Lytechinus pictus: one gene and its partner. The protein of the gene in region 1 binds, or shares a complex with, the protein of each later gene. Links are inferred from orthologs where the notes say so. Each region holds a gene or a part of one and is shown on either strand. Other genes may lie near its edges.

Region 1 (17,113 bases):
CATTAGAAACCAAAACTTTTGATAGAGAGGGGATGCTCTACAAAGGAAACAAGTTCTTAATCATTTTATTAAATGTTACATCAAAGTTGTCACAGTATGATCATTACAATTATTATTTTTATCAAAATAACTGATCGAAAGAAACAACTGTAGAATATCTCACCGCTGCCTCCCCTTTCTTGATATTAAAACACTGAATAATTCCTGCCTGATCAGCTACCGCCACCTTCTGAGGAGCTTTGGCTTTCTTCTCTGGTAACAATCTCATAGTACGAGGGCATGTCACTCCAACCTGGCAAATCAAATAGGTTCAAAATAAAAAAATTATTTTCTTCTAACCTTATTTTGCCATTATTATTTTTATTTTTTAAGCATGTCGCATCTTATACAACATAAAATATATTTGATTTTATTTTGATGAAGCTATAAAACAAATTAAAGAAAGATGGTCCAAAGATCGATAAATGTCTTTGTGTACAAAATAACCATATTATAAATCACAACAATATTGAACATTAAACTAATCAATTAAAACACCTTTGACATTCACATGAAACCCAAAGTGAGACCAATGAGGAAAAAAATCACTTTCATGCTCTGGGGGGGGGGGGGGGGGAGACTAAAACAAGAACTACACCATAAATACAATGTGAAGAAAACTACAGTCTGAGTTATTATTTCAACATCCAAGACAGGTTTTAGTAGTTCGAGTATTATTTAACATCTACAATTAATTTTTTTTTTACCTTTTAGCTACCCATAGTTAAACCTATATAGCTAAACAACATTCAGAGAGTGATTCATGAAGCAAATAGTTGGTTTTCACTGACTAATTTGTTCTGAGCCAATCAGATGCAAGGATTTCACAGTCACTGACAATCAATGCCTATTTGTTTCATGAAAATGCTCCCAAGTTCAAATAAAAGAGGGCTGAGGACTCACCTGGAGATAATCCACTCGGTTTAAACTTAGTTCCATCATCTTGAAGGATTAATCTCTATGGAAATCTCCTCATCAAAATTCTATGAATTCTTTCCATCCAATGTACTGGAAGGGGGGGGGGGGAATCAAAATCATAACAGAATTAGATTAAGAGGGCTACTCTGAGAAACCCATTAATCATGATAGTACAGGCAAGACAAAAAAATTAAAATAGAAAACATATTCCCCTGATCTCATGAATTCATATATAGACATATAGACATTGTTAAAGGTCCTATGACACAAATTCCATCTTATTCTAGATACATATCTATTATTAGGTAGTTTTACTTGAAAAATACGAATTTGCCATCGGTTCCTGTGTACGACGAATCGGTGTTGAGTTATTCCATGGAAATGAACTTCAACGGGAACGCCCACTAAAATTTTCGAAAGAGTCAACCGATCAACCTGTCAATCATTGTGACGTCATCGAAGGCTTTCCCAGCTGTGCAGCCGGACCACTAGTTATTGTACACGTTCCTCGTGTAGTTGCTGTTTCGACCGGGCTCATCCTGAACGGATTTTTTAGATTTTTATGAGGTTTTGATCATGGCTGCAGCATCGTCATCAGCTGCATCTGATTCTTCAGACTTTGAAGATTCAGGTTCTGAATATTATTCCAGCAATTCAATTTATTTACTTTGAATCCACACGTGCAACCACAATAGGCACTTCACGCTCCAAACGTCAACAACGCTCAGCAGCTTCCTTCCCTGACGTCATAATTGTCACGTGATATACGAAACCAAATTGGGCTGAAATTTTGTGGGCGGAGCGAATTTTGCTCAATTTTCAATATAAAACTGCCTTTGAACCTGATGTGGGATGTTTTTCGGGTAAAATTTTGATGGAATCGTAGTAACCACTAAGCTAACGAATAAATCAGCATCTTTGCTGTATTTCATGGGACCTTTAAGACAATTTTCTGGCAATTTTACTTTCCACCAATAAAGGGCCTACACAAAAAATATGCTCAAAATTAAAATTTTTGAGCACTCTGGTGAATGAAAAAATAAATCATAAATTGACCTTTATATTTATCGACCGATGCAAGTATTTTACGATTCATGATATTTATCGGCCGATGCAAGAATTTAAAAAAATCTAAGTTGGCAGCTCTACACGTGTGTGGTATCTAGGTATCAATTCAATTCAATTCAAGACTTTATTCCAGACACAGCTGCATATGCAGAGGTCCATATCAACAACATATATGTAAAATACATCAAGACAAACATACAAAGATAATACTGGAATAAACAAAGAACAAATAAAGTATAAACAGTCAAAAAGGAGAAAAACAAATCACACTAATAACTAGGAACAAACAATGAATACCTAAAACAAGTGATTAAGTATCGATAACAAAGGCGGCAAGATGGCGACGAAAACAGACTGGGTAAGTAAACGCTCGTGCTCTTAATTATTTTTCAAATTTACTACTATTTATTGAATAAATATATGGAACGTTGTCAATTTCGGGGGGTAAATATTGTTTTGGCCCATGTACGTTAGTTTGGGCTCAAAACGATAAGTAAAATGTCTGATTTAGGTCTAGTTTCATCGTGGGAAAACCTACAGTATATAGAGAGTAATGCACTAATGGTAACCAGAGCCAGGCTTCAATGGAGAGTAAGCCTACGTACAGCACTCATCCTACGAACGAGGTTATAATATAACCTCGTTCTCGGCTGTATACCTCTCTATTGTTAAAATTGCTCATTTCCCCCCCCATCCGTTGCCCAAAGCATCGCGAATCAGTTCATACTTGAACTGATCCGTTGATGTAAAATGTTATTTTGACGGATATGACTTTGAATTAATAAATATGATATTAAAAATGAGTAGAAACTCACCGATTTCTCAACCTGAACCTCATCCAAATGCCTCCATTACGTCTATGGTGTACGACAGTGACAAATCAAAAAAGAAAAAAGATCTCACGAAACCATAGAGGCTCATCAACCCGTTTGGACCACTGACCGTTGAGGTTTCGACGAAACTTTGCTCGTAATGCATTCTGGTAAGGAAGTCTTGATAGCCTCAATCAAGACAAATTTGCAATTTTGTTTCATATTGATACAAAGTCAAAAGTGATACTAGTAGTTGTGAAACTGAAATGAAATAAGACATTTTTGTATGAAATAAAAAAATAAAGGAGAAATTCAGTTGTTTCGATTTTGTTAATTTTCTGTTTAATATGGGACTCTTGATGAAGAAGCCCCTTATTCTTTTCTGATTAATGAACTTGTCGATAGAAATATTTTTACAAAGTTAGGCATTAATTTCCGAATTATTGATGTAACAGAAGTTCGGAATAACGAACTTTGCTGTGGGTCTAATCAGGGGAGAATCCAGGATTTTCCAAAGGGGGAGGGGGTGGTTTCTTTTACAGAAAAAAATAACAAGCTCCCCCCCCCCCCCCGTGAAGGAGATTTATGTAACGATTAATTTCACAATTATGATAACAGCTGCTTGCTATACAGTATGAAGTTTCAAGTTTGTTTTCATTGATTTAAAATCTAAACCTAAAGGGTTTTCATTAAAAAAAAAAATTAAAAAAAAATCTCTTACCACAAAGGCCTATTTAGGCCTAGGGGCAGATCAAAATTTTCAAGGGGGAGGGCGGGAAAGTTTCAAGTTAATTTAATTGATTTCAAATCCAAACATAAAGGATTACAATCAAATGAAATTAACAATTTATACAAATTATCAAACAAAATGGATGCAAAATAAATGTGTTCTATGGCTTTCGAGGGGGTGGGCACGAGCCTGATGTGCTCCCCATCCTGGATAAATAAAAGAAACTCATTAAAAAAAATTGGAACGTAATTATGTTCTGTTTTATCACTTTGTCTTGAGTTTCTTGCCCCTTCCATTTTTTTCACATTTCACCCTTTACCCATATTAATTTCAGGACGGTACAAAATGTGGGCTTACAAAAGTGATATGATGATGAAAATGAATATTCCATAACAATATGAAAAATAATAGAAAACCAAAATAATAATATTAATAATTAACCCTTACAATGATAATACTCAATAAAAGAGAGGGATCGGGGGATCGAGAGAAGAAGCAATAACCCCCCCCCCCAAAAAAAAGGCATCATATTTCCTTTCACCATACGACAAGATACAGTTCATTATAGAATAAACTAAGCTGATGGCGCTACAACAATTATTCTTATGTATAAAATAATTATAACAAAATATTGTGTGTCAGGGGAGAAAGAGACTACTATCGCTGGATCTCGGAGATCCGAAATAGAAGCATCACCGGAAACAGGTATCTGTGGTGAGAACATAGAGATATATACTAAGCATTTTTATACAGCTCTGTAGAGGACAGTGGTGTGGTCGCTTCCGTTAGCTTTCTTTAATTGAGCACAAGAGGGCGCGTTACATCCTCTATGTAGAAGTCTATGCGCTGCTGAGGATCATGACAAATTTCATCATCGCTGATGTGGTTTACGGTACACCATGTGAAGTGTTGTAGAAACAGTGGATAGGAGAAGAGAAGAAATGGATAGGCGAGAAAGTGGAGATTTGACAAACAACTACAAGGAGCAGCCATGGGTTCACCTCTCTCACCAATCATCGCTAACATCTTCATGGAACATTTCGAGCACCAAGCACTCAAGACTGCGGACAAACCTCCTTCACTCTGGCTCCGCTATGTCGACGACACCTTTGTCATCTGGCCGCACAGCACACCCGACCTTCACCAGTTTCTCAACCACCTCAACCACCAGCACCCCAGCATCAAGTTCACCATGGAGACCCAACGCGACGACTCAATCCCTTTTCTAGACGTTCGCATCACCAAGACACCATCTGGATTCCCATCTCACCAGGTGTACCGGAAACCCACCCACACAGACCGCTACCTCAATTTCCGCTCACACCACCACCCATCCGTCCACCAATCAGTCGCCCGCACTCTCATCAGACGAGCCCACCAACTAAGCGACAAGGCACACTTACAGCAGGAACTCAAGCACGTGACCAATGCACTCACCACCATCAACCATTACCCCAGGAGAAGGATTAACACTCAACCGTCCAGCCACCAACCCAACACCAACAGCACCGAAAACCCATCCGAAACCAAGCCTATCGCCACCATAACACTTCCCTACATCGGCAAGACTTCACACCGACTACAACGCATCCTTCACTCTGCCAACATCCTCGTCAGACACCAATCCTCCCGCAAGCTACACTCCATCCTGCACTCTCATAAGGACAAGCACCCATCCAACAAGCAACCAGGCGTCTACAAGATCCCCTGCGACTGTGGCAAAGTCTACATTGGAGAAACCGGCCGAGACTTCGACACCAGACTCAAGGAACACAAGACCCACCACCGACGCAGCGACTGGGACCGATCTGCCATCGTCAAACACGCACAACAAGAAAATCACAGCATAGACTGGGACAAGAGCCACCTAATCACCAACATCCGGCACTGGAATACCAGAAGGGTCAGGGAAGCCATTGAGATACATCAACACAACACCGTGCCTCAAGACCCTGGTCTCCACATCAACACAATCTGGCACCCAATCCTACGTCACCACCCAACTTCCAACCAATCCACAACCAACTCCACAAGCAACTCGCCGTCCACCGTCACCCTACCAAGCCCTCCTACCCAACACAGCAGTCTGAACGAATCACCAACTCAACCAGCAACTTCGCCGACGCACACGCCACCGACACCGACGCCTCGCTACAACCTCCGCCGACGACCCAACACCTCATCCGTACACCAGGCCACCCACTCAATCCCGCCGAAGCCTACCCGACGAGTCCGCCGACCAACACGCACGGAACGCCACCACTGATGTACCTACCACGCCGCCGACACACACCGCCGCCGTAACTCACCCCGCCGTCTACTCACCGCGTCCGCATACCACGCCAACTCGTTTCCCGCCAAAAACCGCCGACCCACGCACAGAGCGCCACCTACGACGTCCGCCCGCCGTGACCGCCGGCCCAGCGCTTTCCCCCACGTCCGCACGAACGCCATAAGTACCGCCGCACGCCAAGCGAACACTCACTCCTGAAGACGGACAGTCAACCTGCCCGAAACGTCGAGTCTCTCTACTACTCATCATCTCTACTCGCCGACTCAAGCCAGCATCTCCTCACTAGCTCTACTACTCAAGCTGTTCTCAACTCATCAATCTTTCCTGGTTTACAGTCCTTTTCAGGACTACTTTCAAGAAAGAATAATCTACTCTCAAATCTCCACTTTCTCGCCTATCCATTTCTTCTCTTCTCCTATCCACTGTTTCTACAAGTTACACTTCACATGGTGTACCGTAAACCACATCAGCGATTGTACATACCACCATGCAAACCTTCAAACAACAACCAAATTTCATCATACATTCCGACGATTTCTCGAAGAGTCCTCGAATAAATGACAATATATTGTTGAGTCCAAGATAAATTCCAGCAACAACGGAAGGAAGATCAATGTTTGGTTCGGGAGAAAGACTGGTAAGTCAAACTCTCTTACTTTTACATTTTACAAATTTTGTCTATGAGTACGCCTCACATACCTCTAGTCCCATCCCCTACCTTTTGCTGTATGGAAAATGGTCGGGGATGACGAGTGACGTACAGTAGATACTTTTACTCTCCAGAAGCCTCCAGGCTAGGACCACCATACTATAGACCAAAAGCTTCGGTCTCTTGCTGGGCGTTGTGGCGTGCGCCTGTAATCCAAGCTATGCGGGGAAGTTACAAATTGATGCAGAGGTTCGAGGTTCGAGCCCTGGTCACGTCTTTCGGATGGTGACGTTAAAGGTCAGTCCCAGACGTAAATAATCATATCTGATTGATACACGTCTGACAAAAACTCATAACACACTTTTATGTTGGTTGTTCCGCTGAACTCTGTTGGCTCCACTCACCAAATACAGAGTCAGAGACCGAAGTTCTAGCTCGATCTGTACAGGGACTCAATGGCCATGTTTATGTATTAAGTTCGGATAAAACAGGGAAGTGAAGTTGCGCGGCAGCCGAAGTAAGTCACTGTTAATTCCCCGTTTTGGTGAATTTCAGGCTAAAAGTAAAACGGAATAACAATCTTTATTTTGGAATTTGGTAAAGTTCTTTTTGTATATTTTTTATTTTTTAATTTATGAAATAAAGACAAAAATCGATGAGCCCCGTCAGATTTTGCATTGTTAATCGGCCTAACGGTGGCTGCACGATAGCGAGCTGTGTATGAGGAGAAATAAAAAATGTAAAAAATAAAAAAAACTCCTCGAAACAGACGGCTGCCAGCGCCAGCTGTCTAGGTCTAGGACTAGGACCACCATAACCGAGTCGACATTCGTCTGACTTACATTACATTCAATATGTGGGACTAAACTGAGCTCAAACTCAAACTCAAAGTCAATCTATGGAAAGTAGAAATTATATAGCTGCACAACCTGCCACTATTACAACCAGAAACCTTAAAAGTTTATACATACAATGTTAGATGTAAAAACAGACAACACTATAAAATATAACTGTTACAAATTACATGATAAGATCCAATTACCTTGAATAATATTTGCTGCATTCGTTGCTACGAACGCTCCACAAATTCTGCAAAGGAAAATTTTCATATGGAATTCGACGTTTGCTGCCCTCTAGCTCTAGCTCTAGCTCTGTAGTTGATCGACTAAACATGGATATGGAGATGATCATTATATTTGTTATTGACTTAATTTAGCTCTTTCAGTTGTCTAAACCATTGCAAATTGATAGAAAATGATATTTGTGAGAAATGAAATCACAGTGATTCAGGTTATTCTCAGTATATGCGAAATATCAGTGATCATAACAACGCAGTTACTTCCTTCGAAATAAAGATAAAAGTATAATTGCAGTAAAGAAGTTTCGTCGATCTCCTCTAACGTTATGATAAAACGATAAAACGATAAAACAGATGTTGGACATTCACAAGTCATTACGCCCCTTGGGAATTGTTTCTCGAAGAAACCGATATAGATGAGACATGGGAAATGTTTCATGACTTGTTTGATGCCTAATCACGTACGTGATTGCATTCCAAAATATGTGGGTCGTTCCAAAAACGCCGGCCTCCGAGATCAGGGATGAGTAAAAAAAAAAAGCAAAGAAATCAGGCTTGGACATACATTGGGAATTGATTAAACAATTACGGCATCAGATAAAAATTATCACACGAGTAGATCATACCATTCATAGGTTTTCCCCATTCATATACAAATCCCTTATTTCCTGATAATTGGAGAAATTATCTTTAATCGTCAGGGCCGCCCACTGCAGAACACAAATAAATAAAATATTGCAAATGCGAGCTCGATTTGTTGGATATTTCCTTTATTCACACCAAAAATTTATTGAACATTATATCCATTTTTTTAAAGACCATGATCAAGATATGCATCTCTCCAACCAAACAATGCGAGCGCGAATGAAGCACGAGCTAAATTTTTGACATTCCGAGTTGAAAGATTGGCATTCTAAGCAGGATGTGTATCCAGCTATGGAGGGTTACCTACTCAGTGCGAGGTGGAAATTTTTGACATTCTGACCTAAAAACTGATCAGTTTCAGCACATGTTTGAATAAAGAACGAGCTTTGTTTAAACAAAAAGGGTGAAACCAACTAACAAGCTGTAAAACTTGTTAAGTGGTAGTATATAAATGAATATGATGGCGCTTTATCTCTCCAGATCATACGCGCCAGAACTGCTTGTTGTATTAGGTGAGCGGCCAGAAGCCAAAAAGTGGCTTATTTATTGACTTTAATCCCCCCGGCTGGATCAAAGCAAAATCATACATCAAATTAAAGGAAAATTTCTGAATTTTTCGGATTTGGGCATTAAAAGTGACGTAATGTGTAGCATCACCATGGAAACCGGCCTTGATTAAGCCACGCCCATTTTAAATACATATTGAAAATTTATCGTGAATATTGATTTTTTACTATTTAATTTAAATCATCAGGTATTTTTTCTTATTTTTAAAGGATAGTTCCACTTTATATTGTAAGAAGGATTACTGAATAACAACTTAGCATGAATTTTATGAACATTTTCTCAGAAATTGTTGCCTAGCAACATAACTTTCCTTAGCAACCAGTTGGCTCCTTAAGTAAACCACTTATTTTTCCATTTCAAACCTAACTTTTAACTTTTTAACTAGGTTAGATTAAACCTAATAAGTTACACCAATGAAATTCTATAAAGTATTATTGAAAAATAATAAAAAGAACTAAAAAACCCATTTTAACTATTGCAAACCTCAAATAAATGTGCTAAGCTCTACTTAACACACCCCCTTCTATCGTACAAATCGCCATATTATTGTTCATTTTGACTACATTGATATATACGTACGTACAAGTCACATACTTTATACTATTTTGTGGTGAAAAAAGTGGATTGAGTTAATAATACCTGATCAATTAACATGCAGTATCTTGTCTTCAATAGAACAACAACAAAATTACCATTTCACATTACCCATGGATACCAATTCATTGCCTAGCAACGACTATTTTCCATAGCAACGACTATGATAACGACTCTCCTCCCTGGACAAATCTGTGTAAAAATAGTTCATTATGAGCAATAATACTGACACAATTATCATTTAGATGCAGCCTACAACCTCGTTTTCAATAATCATTCAACAAACTGACTATTTTTTAGCTTCCATGGAGACAAATGTGTTGCCTAGTAACAATATTCCCTAGCAACGGCTATGTTACCACTCTTCATCTCGGTCAAATGTGCTGAGGAAGTTGTGCCGTAGAGTAAAAATATTGAGAAAATTAACATATGATAGGTTGTTAAACAGTATTCAGGAATTTACCATCATCTACTGACACAATTCCATTGCCTAGCAACACTATTTACCTTAGCAACGATGTATTTTACCCTTAAACAATCTTGAGGAAAATAATCCACTTTTAAGTGTACAGTACCATTTGTAAAGGGATGGTCCAGGCTGTACATGTAAATATTTCTATCTAAATAAATAGAGTAAAATTCACAAAGCTAAATGCTGAAAATGTCATCAAAATCGGATAACAAATAACAAAGTTATTGAATTTTAAAGATTATCAATATATTGTGAAAACAGTTATATGCACATCGTCATGAATATTCATTAGGTGGGCTGATGATGTCACATCCCCCACTTTCCTTTTTCTTAGTTTATTACATGAAATCATAAATGTTATTTTATACGTGCGTACATGATGTGTCTTCAATATGATGAAATAAGTTGCGGCAATAAATAACTAATGTGCTTAATCAGTTGTCAATCCAATTGTTCCTTGGTAGAAATATTTTAAATAAATCTAATTTCATATAATAAAATACAGAAGAACAAGTGGGGATATGACATCATCAACCCACCTAATAAATATTCATAAAGACATGCCTAGAACTGTTTTACCGGAATAATGCAAATCTTTAAAATTCAATAACTTTGTTATTTGTTATCCGATTTCGATCAAATTTTCAGCATTTTGCTTTGTGAATTTTACTCTATTTATTTAGATAGAAATATCTCCAGCCTGGACCATCCCTTTAAATAATATGCCTACATGCATACTGGCAATGGCAAATTAAAGGACACCACTTAATTTATCTCATTTCTAAAAAAAAAAAAAAAATTATCCTTGTTTGTATATTGCTTGTCTACAAATTCTTAACAGTACGATGAGCATGGTATTTAAACTTAATCATATAAAAAGAGCAGCTACAAAGAGAAATGTAAATGTTGAAGATATAAAGAGATTAATATGGTTTTGAGGATTAATAGCTGGGTACAGTGGCGTAACAACGGAGGGGCATGGGGGGCACGTGCCCCCCCCCCCAATCGGCTGACCCCCCCAAAAAAGAGGAAAAGGAGAAAAAGAGGGAGAAAGGAAGAGAAACGTAGTGGGAAAGAAGACATTATTGTTCATTATAATGTTATATTATTTCATAATTATGTTATGTTATAGTACATAAGAAACATTTTTTTCATAACTTTATGAAACACAATTTGCTCGGGGCCTATGTCTTCATTGTTCCTGGTGCTCACATTGTCTGTTTACCGAGATATATAATCCTGTTATACTAGAACCTCCCGTTTTCTAGTCAATATGCACCAAACTGCCAAATATATTTCCTCGCACTTCGAGTTATTATTGTTTTATGTACAATAGTATGCTTCTTTTTCATGACTACTTAAAGTGATTGCCCCATTTTATGGTCTTAATATAAAACATTTCCTCTCCGTGCTTACGTTCGCATTAGTGGATTGGTGAAATATGTCTGCTCTCCATGAATTCCTAGAATCAGTCCTTAAAATGTCCCTTTTTCTAATCAGAATATATTCGCGCTCGCATCATTTGGTTAGTGAACTACGTATGGTCTTCGTGTATTCCTTCAAACAAGCCTTAAAATGCTCCTCTTCAGGTCTGAATTTCCTAAATTTTCAGCTCGCGCTCGCAAGATTTGATTAGTGAGATGGGTATGTTGATCATGATTAATCTGATAATCATGATTACAAGTGCTTTATGTGCATGTTTAGATGTAATTCTAACAGAATCAGCAAGCGCTTATTGGCACTCGCATTAGATGACTATGGTGAGATGTGTATACGCTTAATGGATTCCTAAAATATAGTCCTTAAAATCTTTCTGTTTGGGGGTCAATATTTACAAAAATTTCAGCTTCGCGCTCGCATTATTTAGCGAGACAGGTACGTATCATTATTACAAATCATTGATTATATAATGTCCCTTCTTAGGACTTAATATCAAAAAATTTAAGCTCGCGCTTCGCGCTCGCATTATTTGAGCAGTGAGAGACATATCCGTTTTATGGCACTGTCCTTAAAATGTCTATATTAGGTCAGTATACCTGGCAACTGGGCGCGCTTCGCGCACTCACTAAGTGACTCAAAATTTTTGCTGGTGCCCCCCCCCAATGCTGTGACCCACGGTACGCCACTGGCTGGGTACATAACATATTTTTTCGCTCTTGGCTGCATATTCCTCAAGTGAATATGGAATGGTTAAAAAATGGATGTGTCTTGTCAAATAATACCTAGTCACCCATGCATGTCCAACATCCAAGTTTGTAGCCTAGAGATGCCAAAGCTGTGAGTTCGACAAGTTTCTGTTGAATACTATTAATAAGTGTCAGAAGTTTAATCACAGGGAACTTATGATATAGGAGGGCATAAAGAGGGCATTGTAAATGATTCGAGAGCGAAGCGCGAGTTGATTTTTTTTTGACGTTCTATTCACCTTTTGCCATCATGAACAGGAAGAGTATTTATTAATTTACGCGAATGTGAGCGCGATACGCAAGCAATTTTTTTTTTATAGTTTATTATTTATCATCCTGAAAGGTTTTTTCCCTACCATCCCAGAAGGAAAAACCAGTAAGACCAGTAAATTTTTTACTGGTTAATTTCCAGTATATTTTCACTGGTTTCCAGTGTATTTTTACTGGGCCAGTTGATTTTTAACTGGACCAGTAAAAATCAATTGGAGACCAGTGCCAACAATTGTATTCCAATTGAAGTAAAGTAGTAATACCAGTTAAATTGTTTTTCATCAAACTGGTGTTACTGGTCCAATAAATGGTTTCCAGTAGATTTTTACTGGGCCAGTTGATTTTTAAATGTACCAGTAAAAATCAACTGGTGACCAGTTCCAACAATTGTATTCCAGTTAAAGCAAAGTACTAATACCAGTTAATTTGTTTTTCATCAAACTGGTGTAACTGGTCCAATAAAAATAATGATTTTATTTCAAGTCAAATTAATTTGACGAATTATGGAAAATGAATCTTGCAATTCAGATAAAGTTATTATCGTTATCATTATCATCATCATTCTTCTTCTTATTATTATTATTATTAATATTGTTTTTATTATTTTTATTATTATTATTCTTATTATTATCATCATTGTTATTATTATTATTAAAATTAATATAATGATGATGATTATATCATGACCATTGTTGTTATCATTCTTATTAATGTTATCATTATTGTTATTGTATTATTTTTATTATTATTATCATTATTATTATTATTATCGTTATTATTATTGTAATCATCATTAGTATTAAATATCATAATAATTGTTTCCTTTTATTATCAAGATCAAAGTTATATTCCTTTGATATAAACAACTGGTCAAAAGTAATTCCATTATTGTTTGAAATTGACTTTCCAACTGGTCAAGACCAGTAATACCAGTAATTCTGATGATGCTGATCACATGGTTTACCTCATTTGCATATTTCCCATTTTTTAAAGAAAAATCAGGATTTAGAAAAGAATATCATTGCAATGGCACTCATTGTTGTTAAAAAACTTTCTAAATAATTGTGTAAACTATTTCACAATGAAAATGTGTAATTTCACACATTTAAAATTACAGCAGAAAGATTAATTTATTAACCATCTTTTCCATACCACATTTCACTGACCATGGTTTATAACAAACTAAATGCATGTAGTAAATTGATCCAGTAAGACCAGTTGAAGGACCAGTTCGACCAGTTGGAGGACCAGTCAGACCAGTAGGAAATACCAGTAACACCAGTATTACCAGCTTGGGTTAGATACCAGTTTGAAGACCAGTGACAAACTCCAGAAACAAGACCAGTATAAAATTCCAGTTACAATTCAAGACCAGTTTAATTTTTACCTGACCAGTACAATTTTAACTGGACCAGTATGACCAGTTAGACCAGTAAACCGATGTTCCAATTTCCAGAGTTACCAGTTAAGATTCTACTGGTCTAACTGGTCCAGTGGAACTGGTTTTTCCTTCTGGGATTCCATTCCCTTTTATTGTTTCATTCATTTTTCTTATCTTTTTCTTCCGACCCTAGCTTCCTCCTCACATTCCTTTCTTCTTCCTCTTTTTTTTTGCTTTAAACGCTGGGGCGGGGTTCTGTAGACCATCGCCCCCGGCTATACCGTTACGGGCCTGATCAAGATGGTAATTATTTTCCCTTGCTCGCGACTCTCCATCGAATGTAGAGTAAAATCAAAGAATAACAAAGAATCCTATCATTGAACCCTGCAGGACCTGTGGAACATTGTAAAATAGCAGCTGTTTCATCTGCAGAAATAGATAATCTGGCAAAATGGTATTAAAACGGGAAAGTTAGTTTTCTAAATATCTATAATGGTCAACTTCGTTTGAAAAATGCGTATGATTTTACATGGCTTGCTGCGCCCGATCGGCTCGATCGCACGGAAAGGACTGGTGTACTCATAATGTTTGTCAGTTTGTCTGTGTGTTTGTTTGTTTGTTTAATTGTTTGCCTTATAAGTGGATTTTGCTGTACGGTTACCCCCTTGCTGGCCCGGCCCCTTTCAAAGCGGGTAATTTTTGGGAGATATGCCTATACATACGTATTTGAGGACGATTGAGGCTGCTGGTATATATCCCGGTATTATGTAGTTCCGGAAATTCAAACAGTTGAGCTTGACGGATGAGGAAGCAGGGTATCATTCCCAATGACGGATTTGGAACTCAAGTTAAAGGTCAAGTCCATCTCAGAAAAATGTTGATTTAAATCAATAGAGAAAAATCAGACAAGCATAATGCTGAAAATTTCATCAAAATCAGATGTAAAATAAGAAAGTTGTGACATTTTAAAATTTCGCTTATTTTCACAAAACAGTTATATGCACAATTTAGTCATTATGCAAATGAGAGAATCGATGGTATCACTCACTCACTATTTCTTTTGTTTTTTATTGTTTGAATATTTCAAGTTTTACAGATTTGACAGTAAGGATCAACCTTACTGAACCATAAATGTTAAACAATATAATTCCACATGTTCAGGGAGAAATAAAACATTGTTTTACAGGACAATAAGGAGAAAATAAGAATATATATATATATCATATTTCATATAATAAAATACAAAAGAAATAGTGAGTGATTGTTGTCATCAGTTCCCTCATTTGCATATACCGACCGGGATGTGCATAATAACTATTTTGTGAAATTAAGCGAAACTTAAAAGTGACATAACTTTCTTATTTTACATCCGATTTTGATGGACTTTTAGTGTTATGCTTGTTGGGTTTTTCTCTTCTTATTCAAAGAATGGGTATGGACTTGTCCTTTAAAATGACGATTGAGAAAGATAATGATAAAAATCAAGGGATGTGGTCACTGGCGTAGGTCCATATACAGATGGGAGGTTGAGAGCTTGGACCCAACAACATTTTCATGACCCGAGGAAAGAAAAAAAATAGGAGAAAATGAAATAAAAGGAGAGGAACTAGGGTGAAATATGATTCTGATGTCAAACTAATTAGACTTCTGTATTAAAAATTGTCATTTTTTGGCTCGCTTGCTTGGCTCACAGTTTTTTTATTAATTAATTATTATTTTTTTAATAGAAATTTGCTTCCATGTCTGACTCCTTAAGCATTTTGGCTCATTACGCCACTGGTAATGCTACAGTGTATAGGGTAGACCGATCTTTCATGGATTAAAAAAACAACACCACGAAATCTTGGGAAGGAAATATGAGAATTTATTAATGAATGAACAAAGGGGTGAATAAGACACACGAATATGATAGGAAAGAGATTAACAATTAATATTGATTGTGTGGATTCCGGAGAAACAGTCCCCACCCCGAAACATAAAATTAGACAAGATTTTAGACAAATTCAGAGAGAGAGATAGGGGGAGAGAGGGGGTGGGATGAGGGAGAGAGAGAGAGAGGGATGTGATAACGGCTGGGGGGAGGGGAGTGGGATGAATGTGTCTGCCACAATCCTTAGATCAGGATACATGCACGTGTGGATTACAGTGTTGATTGATGAGCCTAAGAAGAGATAAGATATCTTTATAGCTTATTGCATGCAGTTTCATATTTCAGATGCAATCCTGAAGATTTTTTACTTGATAGTTGAGACCACAATGTGAACAACCATACAGGTCGGATTAGAACTACGATTCTGTGAATATTTCCTGTCGATTGGCGGATTCAATAATAATATAATAATACACATATTATGTGATTAGCCAAATAGCATCCCGTGTATGGATTTAATGTACAGCTGCATGATGGGAGTCAGGGCTCTGGGAACGATTTTATTACTGGGGTGTTGAAGTAAATTTGACAAGCAAGCCCCCCCCCCCCAATAAAAAGAGGCTTTCTCTACATAATATTCTTGTCCCGAGAAATTTGCCCCCCTCAAAAAAAGTTTCATTGCAAAATATAGGTCATTTTCGCTATTTTTCTCCATTTTTATTTCACACCTACCGGAATTCCAGGGGATGCTGCCTATGGAGGTTAATACACGTACGCAGCACCCCAGGGCAAAACTTGGGGGTGTGGTCCAGCACCCCCGCTTCCCGGGGCCATGATAGGGTATGTTTTAGTCACAACACTTACTATTTTCTATATAGTCGCATTTTACTGAAGGAGAATAGTTATTTCTCGCAAGATTATACTTAAATATGACCATGGACCTATGAAGAGATGGACGATTAACGCGAGCATTTCTTTGGTCCAATGATAGTCACCGTCGCCTGGGTATGCGCATCTTAATGAGAACGTACAGGTGTTAGTCGTATCTGATCACCCAAAGACGGAACAGTTTCCCGGTCTTGATTTTTGTTGGCTGATACTCTGTTTCAGCATGTGCCTATCAGTCAACATGCTTCATATTTGGAGCAGCAAACTTGAGAAGCAGACGATTTTTATGATATAAAATACGATATTATTCGATCCGCTAACTACCGCTCACACATAAGAACCTCAATAACATTGAGAAATATACGATCTATATATACATGTTAAGTACCACGTAAATCTGGAATATTATGGAAAAACTTGGGAAAATTAAATTCTAAATGGTAAACAGTCAATCACAATATTGCCTCTATATTAAAATATGCAGACATTTCCCCAAATAAAACACATGGAACTAAGATTACTAAAGGTAAACAAGAACTGCACACCGATTTTCCATGATTTAAGTGATTTGTTATCTATTGCGCATATTTGTTAAATATTAATGTCCAGTCACGAACTGCTTCAGTCCCTTCTCATGGTGACGATCATAGGAC
Region 2 (16,858 bases), on another chromosome or scaffold:
ATATAATCATACTTCAAAGTAAATCTATTCTGTTCCTAAAGATGTGAAACATGATAACATCACTAGCTACAACTCGCAATGCTTCAGGTGATAAGTGTGCATAATCTGTTCAAGGAATAATGATGAAAATAATAATAATTAGAAAATGAATCAAAATAGGTGAACTTGTTGATATGGAAAACTTACAGAGAGCGAGCAACTTGCTTCAGGTTGTCTGGATTTTGAGCATTAATTAAGGCACATGTCTGAAAGCACTCTAATGATTCCTGAATCCTGCCTTCTTGCCGGAGGATAAGAGCTTGGACAAAGAGGGCGTACTCACACAGGCCATTTGATTCCTGAAGCTGGTCCTTAATTAGAGCCTGGTTGTTGAAATAATAAAAAAATAACAAATAACAATCATCTCTGAAATGCACTGTTAATGGAAAGGGACAAAGGGAAAATAATTACATTAGTAAATTTAAATAAAGCATGAGGGTAATCTAAAATTCCTTACAAATTATAAATTTTGTAGGGGCACAAGAAAATAGAAAGCATTACATACTTTGATTTTTCCTGAATCAGGATAGTTAAAAAACAACAACAGTATCCTGATGTAAACTGGAATCGGAACAAGATGTAGGGGAGACCGGGGTTAGTTGGAACATGGGGTAAGTTGAAACATTGTAATTTTCTTTAACGTCTTTAAATGAATTTCTGCAATACTGCCCTCAAGTTATTGTCATTATCAACGGCCATCCACCATATTACAGACAACACATGTGCAACAAGCCTGGTGAAGTTAGAAATAAATTTTTGTTTTTTGACCTTCTGAGTAATTTTTTTCTCATTCAGAAATGTTTGATTATCTCAGAGAAGTTTACAAATCAAGTTGGCCAGTTTAGGGGTATAAAAGACACTTATACCAAGCTACAAAATGAGGTTATTAATATGCCATGGTGAAGTCCCTTTTTTGTGCTGTAAGCTTATAAACGTCAAATGAGCCTCCGGGGTTAGTTGGAACAAAATTGAAGGGGCTAGTTGGAACATGTTCCAACTTACCCCAAACATAATTATGAATGAAAATATTGGATATGAGAAAAAAAAAAAGTATTTCACACTCTTCTGAACATGTATTGTATACCATGCTTGTTTTGTTTATCAGTTAGTTCCGAGTGTGCATTTAAGGCCTATTGTAGGCACCTAATGCAATGTTAACCCTTATCAAAGGGGGGGGGGTCAATTTGAGCCCCCCTCAAGAAATTTTGTCACTACGCCGTCGCACAAATTTTTTTGATTACACTGCTAGCTGACTTTTTACTTTCAAGTCTTGCGCATCATTTGAGACCAAATTTGTGATGCCTGTGTGCGCGGTTTCAAAATTACGCAACAAATTGTATGTGCATGTTCGGACCCAAAATTGTTCAAAAAGGTGATTCCATGTACAAGGTCAATGCAAATTGTGTTTTTCAACCAAAAGTCATAAATGTAGGATTATTTTTTACTTTTGCTGGTTCAAATAAATTCATTTTATGCTATTTATGTTCGCAAAAGACTCCTGACAAAGTCCATCGGAAAAAACAAAGTTCGAAAAAAAAAAATACATAAGAAATTATATTTTTTTGCATTTTTTGGTGGATATTTGTTATAAATGTGAAAATTGATACTCTCACCAAAAATTCTATTAGCTTAATAAATAGAGTTAAAGGCAAAAACATACAAAAAAAACAAATTTCTGGAAATTTTTTTAATCAATTATGAAAAAAAATAAAAACAATCAATTTTTGTCTTATATTTTGATGCAGAAGTACATGAAATTGCTGATAGTACACTTAATTGCATGTAAACTCAAACGCACCCAAATATGCGGAATTCTACTACACAGTCTGCTTGCGTGAGTGGCTGTATAATAGAAAACATAAAGTTCAACGAATCCACACTTTAATATTTTGAACTTGAATAAGATAAAGCAAATAGGCTAAAACCATGTAATATTACAGTTTTAAGTAGTTTTAGTATAATTCTTAATTGACCATGCAGTGTTCCAACTTACCCCATACCATGTTCCAACTTACCCCGATATGGGGGTAAGTTGGAACGTTTGTGATAGTCTTGTTCAAGGTGGATTTTTTCAGTAACCATAATAGAGTTAAAAATTTTATGGGGTACATTTGAAGCCCTGAGATATATGCTTCAAGCTGATATATTGATTGTTTCTCGAATAAAATCTATTTGGATTTTACAGCCATTTTTGTCAAAAATGTTCCAACTAACCCCGGTCTCCCCCTATCTCACTTCTTAATTTCTAAAATACACCCTACTCAAATAAAATCCACATTATGCATAATACATACATTATAGTCATAATTATCAGATCTATCTTTCTTCAAAACGTCATACAATTGTGATTCACAAATGCGGTTGGCGAGAATGACATAAAAGACGAAGTTAACAGGAAAAACATAAGGCTTGATGATTTGGTCCCTGGAAAAAAATGTATGAAAGTCTTTATGTAATCAATCTTAGTTGCCTTGTTACATAATCTGTTAAATTCATTTATTTAGAAAAAAAAACCTCTTGTGCACGGAAAGATATTTTACCTATTTTCATTTACTTTAATATACATGTATTTGTAAATTATTCAATACCAGTATACCACAATGATTTCATATAACAAACATATATTTTTAGGGCTCCCAACACAAGTCCCTAATGATCATTACAAAACGACAATGAAAGATACACACGAATAAGTCCTTACGCCATCAAATATCAGCAAAACTGAAAATTAACCCATTTTACCTTGCAGTTCTCAAATTCTTTCTTGACATAGTGAAGATGAATTAACCAGTTTCTCCTTTCAAATACTGGAAGTTCAGGAGCTTCAGAAAAATAAAAAGGAAAATTGTAAATTATGACAAATAAACAACTTCTTTCTTATTTATTTAATATTACAAAATATACTTTAAAAATATATATCAGATGAACACTCATTTCCAGGGTAAGGGATGGTCATTTATTCCCTCTGCTCCAGCAGGCATTCAAACTCAAATTATGTGTATTTTGTTTTCATGTTTATGCTTGGAATTTAGACAACTAAAGAATGGACAATCCATCTTTACACACCACTGAATAAGAATTGTCTTTTGCAACCTTTTAATACTCTCCTTCTGTGGTCAAATAGGGATCTAACTTCAGCAAAAAGAAAGAAAAAATTGTTTACTGTAACTAAAATGACCCATTAAACATTGCCTAGTTTTATTTTTTTCATTTAAAATTGACCCCCCCCCCCCCCAAGAAAAACTTAAAATATTTTTTTTTAAATATATAAATTTAATAAAACTTAGAAATAAAAATATGTAGTGGGAAAAGCATTAGTGACATAATGAATTAAATGAGTACCACATTGTCATAACATTTTGCACTTGGCCCTGTGATATGCAGGTTTGCAGATATTTGTGACAAGAAAACTGGATGAATGAATGGACAAACAATACAAAAACATGCCAACAGCAAGGATCTGTGAGTGGAAGCAGCAAAACAAATCTAAGTGGTAGAACTTTTCAGTCTCTTAGCTTAGATGCTGGTTGACCATTACCAAAAATCATTGAAAGACGTTCATGTCACTGGACCCAAATGCCTGAAAAGGGAAGCTTCTTACCTTTCTTACCCCTGATCCTTGCCTGAGGTTTTGGTGGAGGGTTGTCAGAGTATGGAGCACTTGCTTCAGGGACTAAATCTGAAGGTTTCTTTGGCTCAGGCTCCATTCTCATTGGCGTGACATACTCCTCTTGAGCTAGCTGTAGAAAGGAAAGATTACAATCCTCAATTAAACCACAGGGAAGAACATTTGCACATTGTTTATATCCTTTTTTTCTGTAGAGGAGTATCGTTTCTTCACCCTTAACTTGCACATAGAGCCTAGACTTATCTGGCGATGCACACATTCACCCACAATCTTGTTTCTGCAGAGGCTGATCCCAGACCTTGCATAATTGGACTAAATGCTTAAAATATCATATAACATAATTTTGCATTAACAATTGATCTTTTTCTGACATGAATATTATGAGAATAATGAGGGAAGACATACCGGTAATCTTTAAAATCCTTCTTTTGATTTTTCATATAGTAAATGGAACTTCCCCCAGTTACAAAAGGTCTTTGATGCATAATTAATACCTCAGGCAAGGGTTTGGATAGGCTACACTACACTTCACTACCGCTACCCTCCGCTTCACCTATCCGAACTCTCGGGGGGCAAACATGACAAATGCTCGCTCATCAAAAAAAAAAGACAAACTGTGGCACTTTGTGTTGAGAAAGCCACCACATGAAAACCTAAACATACATTTAGCTTACTCTACACAAACGTCTCAAAATCAGTGATTTGATGCCGAATCGCAGGACCGAGGGTCCGAGCTTAGACTCTTGCGCATGCGATGTTTTGAAATCGGCAGCGAATTATTAATACGTGTGGGGAACTCCATGTTGGCTCTAAATCACCAATTTTGAGACTGATAGAAGCATGGAAAAGTGAAACTTCGTGTAAAGTAAGAATATCAGTTTTAATTGTTTTTAAAGATCATGATGTTGCATGAATTTTATATTTTCCCCATAAAATCCCACCTTTGTCACTCGGAGTATCAGAGCAAGTTCACGGGCTTGATGTTCACTTGAGGTACCTAAAAACATACCTGTATTGCTTTTTGACAGACATTGACTTATTATTCAGACATTTATATGTAAATAGTTTTTGTTGTTCTGCTCTGAAGCACCTTGTCCTTGAGCATCTAATCAAGATGGAGAGTGCTCTATACAAATCTCATGTAGTATTATTGTTGTTCGTTGTGGGTCGTTTCCACACCCAAATGATCTCCTCGGTATACTCTCAGTGTGTTTGTCACAAGGTTGATGAGCTGCTAGGTACTATTTGCTTACATGTATTATTAATATTATTAGGTATGTATCATTATTAGGTCTAATTCTATGTGTTTGATATGCATAAGCAGCATTTAGACCAAAAGCTTCGGTCTCTGTTATGTTGGTTGTTCTGCTGAACTTTGTTGGCTCCACACACCAAGAGAAATTAAAAAAATAGAAAAAATATTAAAAACTCCTCGAAACAGACGGCTGCCAGCTGTCTAAAGCAGCATATGATTGAAAAATAGAAAAATTAAAAATAGATCTAGAAATAATCTAGTATACCCAGTTGTTGTGTGACCGGACAGGTTGTGTGTCCGGACGATCAATTTTAGAAAGTCATCTGGAAAAAATTACAAGCGAAGTTTCATCAATTTTTAGTACAAAATGTTAGGAAATATTATAAAGAACAAAATAGACGATGATTACAAGTATTGAATTCATATTTATAGTGTAATCCAAAGACAATAAAGAATAAACTGTCCGGACACCCGACCCCCCATCCTACTACTACTAGTAGTAGTACTATCTTATCTAGGCCCTATAACTACTACTAGTAACTTTTAACTTTGTTAGATCTATAAAAAAAAGCGAATATCAAATAAAGGACAGGTGCCTTCTTCACTGACCTTATTCCACTCGCCATAATAATCAACTCTTATGATTGTGGGCAACAACTAAGACAAGACAAATAACTATTCAAGAAAAGTGTTACTAAGTGTATGGTAGGGGGTCCTAAAGCTGCGCGGGTCCTAAAGCTACGCACCACTCATCGCGCATACAGTTTTTATGGCAAATGCGCACTCTGTGTGTGGAACTGTGACTGCAGAGTGACGAACGATTCCTGTTCAATTTTTTCTACAGAGTCAGAGGCTGCAGTAAATCTCTAATTTAATGCAGAGAAAACAACTGTTTCGAATTTTGGAGTAATATTCGCCTAACTCCTAAGTTTCATTTTATCCTATAATAATATGAATATATTTTAGAAATTGAGGCACAGGAAATAATTTTTTTGCATGATAAATCGAGTGCGTAGCTTTAGGACCCCTTCTACATCGGGTGGCGAAATCAAGAGGTGTTCGGAAAACACGGACAGGACGGAGGGATTTTCGTATTAGTGAGTTTTGCGATATTTTCTTCTTGGTCCTTGGTTCTTCTTCTTCAAGCTACACTGCCTCCTTCAATCCTGAAGATTCTTGCAGTATTGTAGTACCGGGGACCGGCAGGTGCAATACACCGGGTGAACACCCTACTCTTTGACGAATAGTGTATTGGTTTTAACGTGCATAGGTTGTGACTCTCCTATACACGGGACCAACATTTGCGTCCTTTCCGATGGACGGAGTGTTTTCCAACTGCATTCACACCCGCACTGAACACAGCGGTGAGGCACTTTAACACACAACTCTAGCAACAGTTTTTTTTGTTAGACGTCTTCCGGCATGCTGCGGGACTCGAACCCACGCACGTTGAGATCTACGATCTTATCCGGAACAGGCGCTCTAACCGACTGAGCTACACTGCCTCTGGTTAATGATCTTTAAAATGTTTGCCACAAATTAGTGAAAGATATTTGTTGAAATATTAAAATTGGGATAGTTTTTATTGTTTGAAAACAAAGTGCGTAGCTTTAGGTCCCCCCATCATACTGTTAGTTACTAGTAGTAATACTAGTATGGCAGTGTATCCTATTGCCGGACACCTTTATTACAGTGCTTTAAAAATGACAACTAGACTCTAGAGGAAATACAATCAAGAAAAATTCGCACTTGCTATTCCAAATATTATGAAAATTATTAATATGATAAAATTATTTTATATTTACCAACCATTTTCTTTGCATCGCACTTGCCGCATACCCCTCCACGAAAAACAATTATTTTCGTGCGCGACAAATTACATCATGATTCCGGACGCGCGCCGGACGGGTAAAGATATCCTTGATTATAATGATGTAAGAATAAATTTCTGTGATTTTTTTCTTCTTATATCATATCATGAATAAATTCTAACTTTTTGTTTGCTTTTTTTATATCGAATTTGAGCAGATGTTGGTAATAAATTTGTGTTTGATAACTTAATTTATTTTTTATTTTTTGGTTAGCTGCATGTTTCATGGCACTTTCCAGTGCTCGTTCGTATCGTGACGCTCATCAAGTTCTATCGATGCGCAGCCGATCGTCGACGGCTCTACTCACGGTAAACCTCGCGCACGGTACCTTGAGAACTAGCCGTCGACGATCACCCACAATACACCTCACCTCATCATTCGATCGAAGGAGCCGACGAGATTGAAATTCGGCAAATCAGGCCCATATTTCCGTAAGAAAATATATCAATTCATTCAATTGTTAATGCAAAACTATGTTATATGATATTTTAAGCATTTTCTGTCATTTTAGAGATAAATAAGGAAGAAATTTGATTTTTTCGCCTTGTTTTTGCAATCTTGTTCTATGTATTGATCTGTGAAAATGAATTGCGGAAGTCTTACGGTACGAAATTGTTTTCGAACGCATTTATATGCGCGTCCGGAATCACAATAGTGTCCGGTAATACAATACTTGACTATATAGGCCTACCCAGTTGTTGTGTGTCCGGACGATCAATTTTAGAAAGTCATTTGGAAAAATTTGAAAGCGAAGTTTCATAAATTTTTAGTACAAAATATTAGGAAATATTATAAAGAACAAAATAGAAGATGATTACAAGTATTGAATTCATATTTTTAGTGTAATCCAAAGACAAAAAAGAAGGCTTCAAAAATATAAAGTGTCCGGACACCCGACCCCCCATCCAATACGTAACGATCCACTAGGCACTAAGGCACTATACCATACTACACAATCACGAGCATGTGGGACCGTGCAATTATAATCGCCAATTTTGATTTCACCGACGCTTTTTCGATAGAAAATACTTTCTTTTCGAAAGTCATTAATTTAGACGATTGGTTATCATTTCATGGTTATTCCTAAAACGCTAAAATGTAAATAAATACCGCACAAAATTAGGAAGGAGAAGAAAACATCAAAATATTGGCGTACCTTTTCCTTGGCAACACCAACAGTTTCGTCGGCCATTTCGCTCATAATGTCAACCTCATCTCCAAGAATTTTAGAGCGAGCATGCCAGCGCCATAGTAATGTAAAAATGCCGTAACAAAAGTAACAGCAGTGTGCCCCCCCCATTATTAGTATATATTTCTATGCCCCCCCCCCCCCCTTGAAAGTGAAAACTTGTTTATCTTGCTTGTCAGATATTTACGTGGACGAAATGTTATTATTTTAGGTAATATTGAAAACCCTTTTTTTCTTTTCTTTTTTTGCTTGTCAAATTTTTCCTCGGGAAAATGTGCCCGCCCCCCTCACTTTTGGAAAATCCTGGATCGGTCCCTGGATGGGGGCTTGGGGTCACGGGCGGCAGATTTTTCGTGAATTTGAATGGGCAAAGCCAAAAAAATATAGCACTTACATTATCAAATTGGCATTTTGGTGCAAGGGGTGCAAACAGATTTTCACCATGAGATTATAGATCATTGTGTGAAGTAGTTGTGTGTTTTGATAAAATATGTTGGCCTATTATAAGGCTTTATTTCTTTCGCGAACGAGCGAGAGTAGCGATCGAGTGTTTTGGATGATCTGAAGTAGTGACACTCGCTTTTTGGTCAAATTGGTCCCACTCAGACAGCTGGCAGCCGTCTGTTAATTTCAGTGACATTAAAATGTAATGGTACAAAACGAAAGGGGAGGTGGATATGCATGCAGCAATATAGAATAAACTCAAAAATATTTTTTCATACAGCACGGGAATGCCTCCCCTTTGAGCAGATACTTTGCAAAAAATTGCTTGCTGAAAACCGGGGCTGAAAAGCAGAAGCAATAGCATTGGAGACTCAGAGAGTGACGGCAGTGTTTTACCCGCTCCGAACAAAATTAGAGCCGAAATTTTGTGTCAATGCGATTTAAAATAATATTTTCATATCATTTTAAAATAATATTTTTCATATCATTTTTTTCCCAAACTTTGAGATCAAGCAGGCAGAACATGGCATATTTCTGTGTACAACGTCACGTGACTAACGTATGATAGTTTCTATTTCTAGACCCTTTTCATTTGAAACAATTAATACAGTCCAAATAAACTTAATTAACGCATTTATATGTTAAAAGTAACAATGTTCTTGTACTATAAAGCTTTGCCTACTGATATTTATAATATAGCTACAGTTTTGAGGAGCAAATATCGAGTCCGGAATTGATTTTGATTTGCAAAAGGATCTGCGTAAGTGTACTATATACGAGCAGTCTAGCATCGTCTGCTACGTACACCAAATGAGCGAACATGACCGAAACTAACCATTATGTGTATACTTTATAATTAATGGCAAGAATATATACAAGTCTTGTGGCCGGGGAGGGGAAAAACGTGGAAAGGCATTTTATATATTTTTCCGAAGCAAAATTCTGTATGAAGAGAGAAAACAACGCCTCGTTTAGGTTTTTATTCTTTTGACCCCCCAAAAAAGAAAAACAATAAAGCTATACCCTTCTTCCCCTTTCTCTTGTCGCTTTTTCTTTTTCTCCTTTTCCCCCTTTTTTTTTGGGGGGGGGCGACCACCCCCACCGCCCCCTGGCTACGCGCCTGGCTTTAATAATATTTTCACTAAACGTTTTTGAAAGAAAATCCCTAATATTTTTCAAAAACGTTACTAAAATGTATTTTAAACATATTTTCCGATGTTTTATAAAATGAATTTTTTCAGAAATTCATTACATTTTACTAACATTTTTATAAGGGTATATATTTGATGAAAAACTATCATTAAAAAAATGATGTTAGAATACAATAACATCAACCGTAATAGAAACGTAATAAAAATACATAGGCGGATCCAGGGGGGCGAGGGGCCCAGCCCCCCCCCCCTATTGGCGGAGCAAAAAAAAGAAAAAGGGGGAAAGAAAGAAAAAAAAGAAAAAGAAGGGAGAAGAGAGGAAAAAAAGAAGGGGAACCACAAGAAGAGGAAGACGAGTGAATAAAATAAGATGAGAGGAAGACTAGGAAAATAATTTTAAAAATCTTTCATGTCACTATAAAAAATTTTCGATCGTGCTTCGCGCTCGCATTGCCTGTTAGGTGATTTACATATTGATATGGAGCTTGAAATATCAAAATTTGAATTCAGCATAGAAAACATATTTCAGCTCGGAAATCGAACTTTCATCATTTTGTTTGATTTGCAAATTGATTCTTAAAAAGTGCTCTGTAAAACTTTTTGTTTTATGGTCTGGGGCGGTATTCTGAGGTCATTTTATCTTTAAAATATTTTATTTTATCTCTTAAAACGAAATTGGTATTCTGGGGAGCGTTTCATGAAAGGACTTGTCGGACGTTTTATCCGACAAGTCCCATTTTATCCGACAGTTACCATAGTAACAGTACCTCTCAGCCAATCAACATCAGAGAAAGATGTCAGATCTGACAACTTGTCGGATGAAAATGTTGATGAAACACCCCCCTGAGATGACATTTTATCTCTCAGACAAAATTTAAAATTTTATCTTGCGTATAAATTTTATCTTGCGTATCTATGATGATACGCATCAGAGCAATGGCTGCGTAGACATACCCATCGCGTATCTGGACATTGCAACGCGGATGACGTGCTTGCGCCCAAGTTACTTTGAAGAAAAAATAAAATAAACTTAAAAGAGGGTAGGGGCTATTTTATCTCTGCGACGTTGATTTCGTCAATATTTCTTCATGAATTAACTCCAAATGTTGATATGAAAATGGAGAAAAATTATATATTCATTGAGAACAACACCTTAAAGTTATTCCTGTACAATTAGGAAGTATTTCATTAGACTTTGCTTGACTAATATTGTCTTTGAAATGATGCTTGAAAAGATGCGAAATAGACTTAGAAAAAAAGATGAGAGTATTGTCATTTTTGTTAAAAAGAAATCTCTGAAAGACGCGCAAGCGTATAGTGCAAGCGTATTTGAAGTCAATAAATTGACGCAATCTCACTTCTTTGCCACACCTCCTAGCGGAATGGATTTCCATTGGTTGAGTGATATGAGAGAGCTATAAAAGCGTGTTTCTCATTGGATATAGATTAAAAAATAGGTGTGTCTTACAGAGATAAAATGAAGATAAAATTGTTCTCAGAATACCAATTCGGAGAGATTTTAAGGGTATTTTATCTCACTGATTTTAACGAAGATAAAATATTTTATTTTATCTGAGATAAAATGGATCTCAGAATACCACCCCAGGCTCGCGATTTGCGCTCGCATTGATTGTTGAAAATATATTAACTCATGCATCTTATTCATAAATACAAAGTGCTTTAAATGTCCAGTTTTCAGGTCATAATATTAACAGATTTCGCGCTCTCACATTAGGCTTATTGGATTAATAAATAAGATTTTGATTTAATAATCAAATTGTCCCTTTTTTCAGAATGGAATATCGACAAGTTTCGTCTCGCGCTTAGGAAGAGAAATAAGAAGATATATTCATCTTTCTTGGGTTGTTCTGGTCCTATGTCAAAACTCAAAGTAGTATCAATGAAACATATGAGCCCTTTTTTTAAAGTGATCCATATCCAACTCACAATTTTCCTACAAAGTGCTTGAAATACAGATCTTAAATTGACCCTTTTCAGATCGAAATCTGGAACACGTGTGCGCATGCATATTTAGATATGCAGCTTGTTTACTTGTTCTCTATTCAAATCATTATCCAGTTTCATTTCACAATATCAAAAATTTTCTGCTCGCGCTTTGCGCTCGCAATATTAATGTAAGAAGATTTCTCATCCTTTTCATGATTTACAAAACATGAATAGAGTGTCCCATTTTCAGGTGTAAATCTCGAATTTTTCCGCTCGCGCTTCGCGCTCACATCAATTGTTTAGTTACATACATACCGTTTCACGATTACAAAAAGTGCTAAAAATTTCCATTCTTCAGGTAGATATATCAGAATTTTTAGCTCGCGCTTCGCGCTCGCATTATTTGATTGTTGAAATATGTAACGTCTTCAGGGCTAACTGCAAGCAGCCGTTAACAGATCATTTTTTTATTAGATCAAAAGTCAAAACGTATCATGTAGTTGGATACACATCTCGTTTAGGATCACAAACATTGCCCGGAATGTTTAAATTTTAGGACAAAATACATGAAATAAAAAAAGTAGCTAGCTCTTCGCACTATTGAAATAAGGCTTATACGAGATTGTTGGATATATATATGTTGATTCATAAGAATAAAGCTTAGAAGTGACCCCTTCAAAGAAACAAACAAAAATCAACTTCGAGCGGCCGATCGGGGAAAATGTGGCTGAAAAAATCCGCCCCCTCTATTGGCGAAGGCTGGATCCGCCCTTGAAATATGTTTTTTTAATAGTTCAACAAACATAAAAAAAAAAGCTTCTTCTAATATTTGCCAAAATATTTCAAAATGTATGAGAAACATCCTTATTAGTGTCTTTATAATATAATATTAACAATTTTTTTAAACTTTGCTATCATTTTTATAAAGTTATATATGGGATCTAAATATATTTTTTATATATTTTATATATTATTGCCAAATCTATAAAAATGAAATATTGTATAATTCAAAAAATAAAAAAAACAAAAGAAATAGTGAGTGATGGACATCATCGAATTCAATGACTCACCTACTTGTGCATATCACTGTTTTGTGAAAAATAAACGAAACTTTAAAAAGTCATAACTTTCTTATTTTACGTCCGATTTTGATAAAATATTTTAGTGTTATACTTGTTGGATTTTTCTCTTTTTATTTGAATCAACTTTTTGTTGGGGTAGACTTGTCCTTTAAATAGTAAAAAACCAGTGTTTTCATATGCAAATAAAAAAAAATGATTCAATATTATGAAGACGAGAGATATGTTAGTTCTATATCGGGTTTGTTTAATAAATTTATAAATGGATGTCACTTCATTCTTTATTTACTTGAGAGAAAAGTTTAAGAATTATTATTGTTTGAGTTCATTTTTTGATCGTGTAAAAATGCTTGCTGGTGTATATTTTGATATTATTTTTGACTCAATATAAAAGGCCTTTGGAGGGCTAAAAAGTTTGAAAAAAAAGATATCATAATGAACACCATCTTAAATCATTTTATTACGTTTTCAAAACCCTATATAGTAAATAAATATTCATGTTAAACAAAACCCTTTTCATGATGATTTCTTTTCAGAAATCAAAGAAACATCTTAATAACATATTTTCAATGTAAAAGGTTTACTTTAAATGTTATCAAAATGTAATGACGGCACAATCAAACTAGAAAGGTTAATTTTGATAATATTAATTACATTATGATTAAAATGACATCAAATGTTCTAGAAAGGTCATAATAAAATATTTTGACAATATTATAGGGATATTTTCATTAAAAAAAACGTTGGAAATTATCATGTAGAGGAAAACCATCTTTTATGATTTAATGACATCATGATAACGTTACGACGTTCTAATATAATTGTTGGAAAAACATTTTGCCAACGTTGGAAATACGTTTGGCCATCTGGGGCGGTATTCTGAGGTCATTTTATCTTTAAAATATTTTATTTTATCTCTTAAAATGAAATTGGTATTCTGAGATGACATTTTATCTTTCAGATAAAATTTTAAATTTTATCTTGCGTAGAAATTTTATCTTGCGTATCTACAGATGATACGCAACAGAGGAGTGCCTGCGTAGACATACCCTTCGCGTATTTGGCCCATGATTTGGCCATTGCAACGCGGATGATGTGCTTGCGCTCATGTTACTTTGAAGAAAAAATAAAATAAACTTAAAAGAGGGTAGGGGCTATTTTATCTCCGCGACGTTGATTTCATCATTATTTCTTGGTGAATTAACTACAAATGTTGACATGAAAATGAAGAAAAATTATATATTTATTGAGAATAATACCTTAACGTTATTCCTGTACAATCAGGAAGTATTTCATAAGACTTTTCTTGACTAATATCGTCTTTGAAATGATGCTTGAAAAGATGCAATATAGACTTCGAAAAAAGATGAGAGTATCGTCATTTAAAAAAAAGAAATCTCTGTAAAGACGCGCAAGCGTATATTGCAAGCGTATTTGAAGTCAATTTATTGACGCAATCTCACTCCTTTGCCACACCTCCTGGCGGAATGGATTTTCATTGGTTGAGTGATATGAGAGAGCTATAAAAGCGCGTTTCTAATTGGATATTGATTAAAAAATAGGTGTGTCTTACAGAGATAAAATGAAGATAAAATTGTAGTCAGAATACCAATTCGGAGAGATTTTAAGGGTATTTTATCTCACTGATTTTAACGGAGATAAAATATTTTATTTTATCTGAGATAAAATGGATCTCAGAATACCACCCCTGGACATGATGTAGCAGTCATGAATATTCATGAGAACAGTGAATGACCAAATTGTCAGCTTAAGGACGTTCCACAGTTAAAGTGAAATCCATGTCATTTTCACCAAACTTTGCACATAGATACTTTAGAACCTTAATATTCGAAATAAGCAAAAATTAACATAGGTCCATGTGCTTGATTTTTTGCTATAGAGCTTTAAAGTTCACCCAAATTGATGTTCTTAAGAATTGCGCATTCAAAAGAATTTGGCATTTTTAGACCGCCCAAGATTACTACAATGAGTTTAAACCTCCATTACTCGTTCAAAATACATGAAAAAGTCATCAAATTTCGCAAGAGAGTTAATAATTGTATCGTTAGAATGGAGAATCTATTAATAGTGCTATTTGTTTGCAATTTTAAGTTTAACAGCACTGTCAGTTCTTAAAAATGGCGTAAAAGATAACAAAATCCCAATCTGAAAAATGTAAAATTTCAGTAACAAACTACAAACGTACAATAAATGCTGCACTTTATTCAAAATCCATGTAATTTTCACCAAAATTTGCAGAGTTGTAGAGGAAGGTATACCTAAGAGGTACAAACATTAAAAATAGGGGTTCATGTGCTTGTTTTTAAACTATCAGCATTTTTATTAGAGCAAATGTGCTTTTTAAAACACCAAAAATGGGCCGAATGCTTAGTATCTATGTGAAGAAAAAAAATCAAAACCACTCTACCATTTATTCAAACTCGGGCTAATATTCGTGATTCTTGGCAGCACTGCAGAGTAAAGTATTTTGAATTTGTAGAGAATATTTTTTTGAATGGTCCATGGAATAATTCAAATTTTTAGCTTCATGAAATAACGCATCGGATCTGCAGTTAAAGTGCAGAAGATGAGAAAAATCAGCTCATACCCGCAGCTAATTAATACCTGTTCATCCATTGTGACGTCAGCGCGCAGAGTGTAAACTATGCGCAGATCATAATGCGCACAAATATAACTGTGGAACGTCCTTAAATAGATATAACAAGGCGTGATTATGTTTACGTACTTGTTTCACCATCAAAAGTTTCAAAAAAGTATGTAGCTTGATTACCATATCGTTTTCGTAAAATAAATGATTCGTATAGGTGAAACATCATAAGATATCTTCTTTGCATGCGACATTTCATAATTATATTGAAATAACATATTTAAATCATTAAACGTAAACAACATTATAATGTTTTAAAAGAAATGTTTAAATTATATTAAAATGTATGGTTTCAGCTGAAATGATTATAAGCGTTTTTAGAACATTGAAACATCAGAAAGATAATTGCAACATTTTATTAATATTATTGAAATAGGCCTACATTGGAAAATGTTTTTTTAATGTTGCAGCACTAGCGTACCTACGGGGGGGGGGGGGGCAGAGGGGCAGTCTGCCCCCCCCCCCCCCTGACGAGCCACCACCCATGCAAAGCCACCACCCATGCATGCATGCCCCCCTGACGAGCTTGAAAGACCTTTTTGCCCCCCCCCCCCCTGACGAAAATCCTGGAAATTGTGTTGCAGCTTAACGTTATGAAAACGTTTTATAGCAATGAGAACACCATACATTTTCACATGATTTTAACATTTCCCTAAAACATTTTCATGATGTTTGACCAAACATTTTTATGATATTTTGTCAATGTTTTTGTGTTAGCTATCCAGAATCGCCGACGGATACAGTATCCGCGCCGCCGAACCAAATCTGCCGCTACACACTATAGCCGAGATGATTGATCAGTGCAATAAAAAAAAAAAACGAGTAGGCCCCTACCGGACAGTCCGGTATCTTAATTCTTCCTGGAGGAATCTGGGTCTATGTACGGTTTGAATGGTGAGTTTTTTCTCCATAAAATTATGTCACATTGAAGTCATAAACTAACAGTTTGGCCGTAAAATATCCTAGTTATTTTCGTGAAATATAAAGTAAAGCGGCGCGGAACGGTACCGGTGCCGTACCACGGAATACCGGTACCGTACGGCCCGTCGCTGAGGCTGAGCTTAGCTAACTCAGTCTCGTCTCTCAGACTCGGGGAGCTCCGGCACGCTTCGCGGGCCGGAGCCCAGGGGCGGTATTCTGAGGTCATTTTATCTTTAAAATATTTTATTTTATCTCTTAAAATGAAATTGGTATTCTGAGATGACATTTTATCTCTCAGATAAAATTTAAAATTTTATCTTGCGTATCTATAATTAAATAATGTAATGATACGCAACAGAGCAGTGGCTGCGTGACAATGACAATGACATGATGTCTTTGAATCAAAGACATCATGTCATTGTCATTGTCACGCAAAATCCTTGTCATCATCATCAAAGTTTGATGATGATGACAAGGATTTTAATTTTATTTACCCATGTTACCCTAATTCGGGTATTGGGGACACTATCATATAGAACATAACATATTCAATATCATTTCAATTATATTTACAAAGTTTTGTTTTTGTTTTTACTTGCACGCTGTAAGCAATTTTTTATCGAATAATGTACATACACTTGCACGCTGCACTTCACCAGTACGACA

Evidence for each region.
Region 2: Bardet-Biedl syndrome 7 protein homolog (region 1) and Bardet-Biedl syndrome 4 protein-like share a complex: the UniProt entries of both Caenorhabditis elegans proteins name them as parts of the BBSome complex. The link is inferred for Lytechinus pictus from reciprocal best matches to the Caenorhabditis elegans genes osm-12 and bbs-4.

What each region holds. Positions count from the first base shown.
Region 1 is NW_026974140.1:10,641,174-10,658,286, reverse strand, and holds the start of Bardet-Biedl syndrome 7 protein homolog, read right to left. Parts: upstream 7,639-17,113; 5' UTR 7,552-7,638; intron 5,834-7,551; coding exon of another isoform or gene 4,559-5,833; intron 1,048-4,558; 5' UTR 982-1,047; coding exon 943-981; intron 293-942; coding exon 164-292; intron 1-163. Other genes in the region: uncharacterized protein LOC129265491, read left to right, coding at 4,559-5,833. UniProt on the Caenorhabditis elegans protein: Component of the BBSome complex. The BBSome complex is thought to function as a coat complex required for sorting of specific membrane proteins to the primary cilia.
Region 2 is NC_087246.1:53,082,276-53,099,133, forward strand, and holds the start of Bardet-Biedl syndrome 4 protein-like, read right to left. Parts: upstream 7,997-16,858; 5' UTR 7,995-7,996; coding exon 7,950-7,994; intron 3,780-7,949; coding exon 3,641-3,779; intron 2,862-3,640; coding exon 2,782-2,861; intron 363-2,781; coding exon 187-362; intron 1-186. UniProt on the Caenorhabditis elegans protein: Component of the BBSome complex. The BBSome complex is thought to function as a coat complex required for sorting of specific membrane proteins to the primary cilia.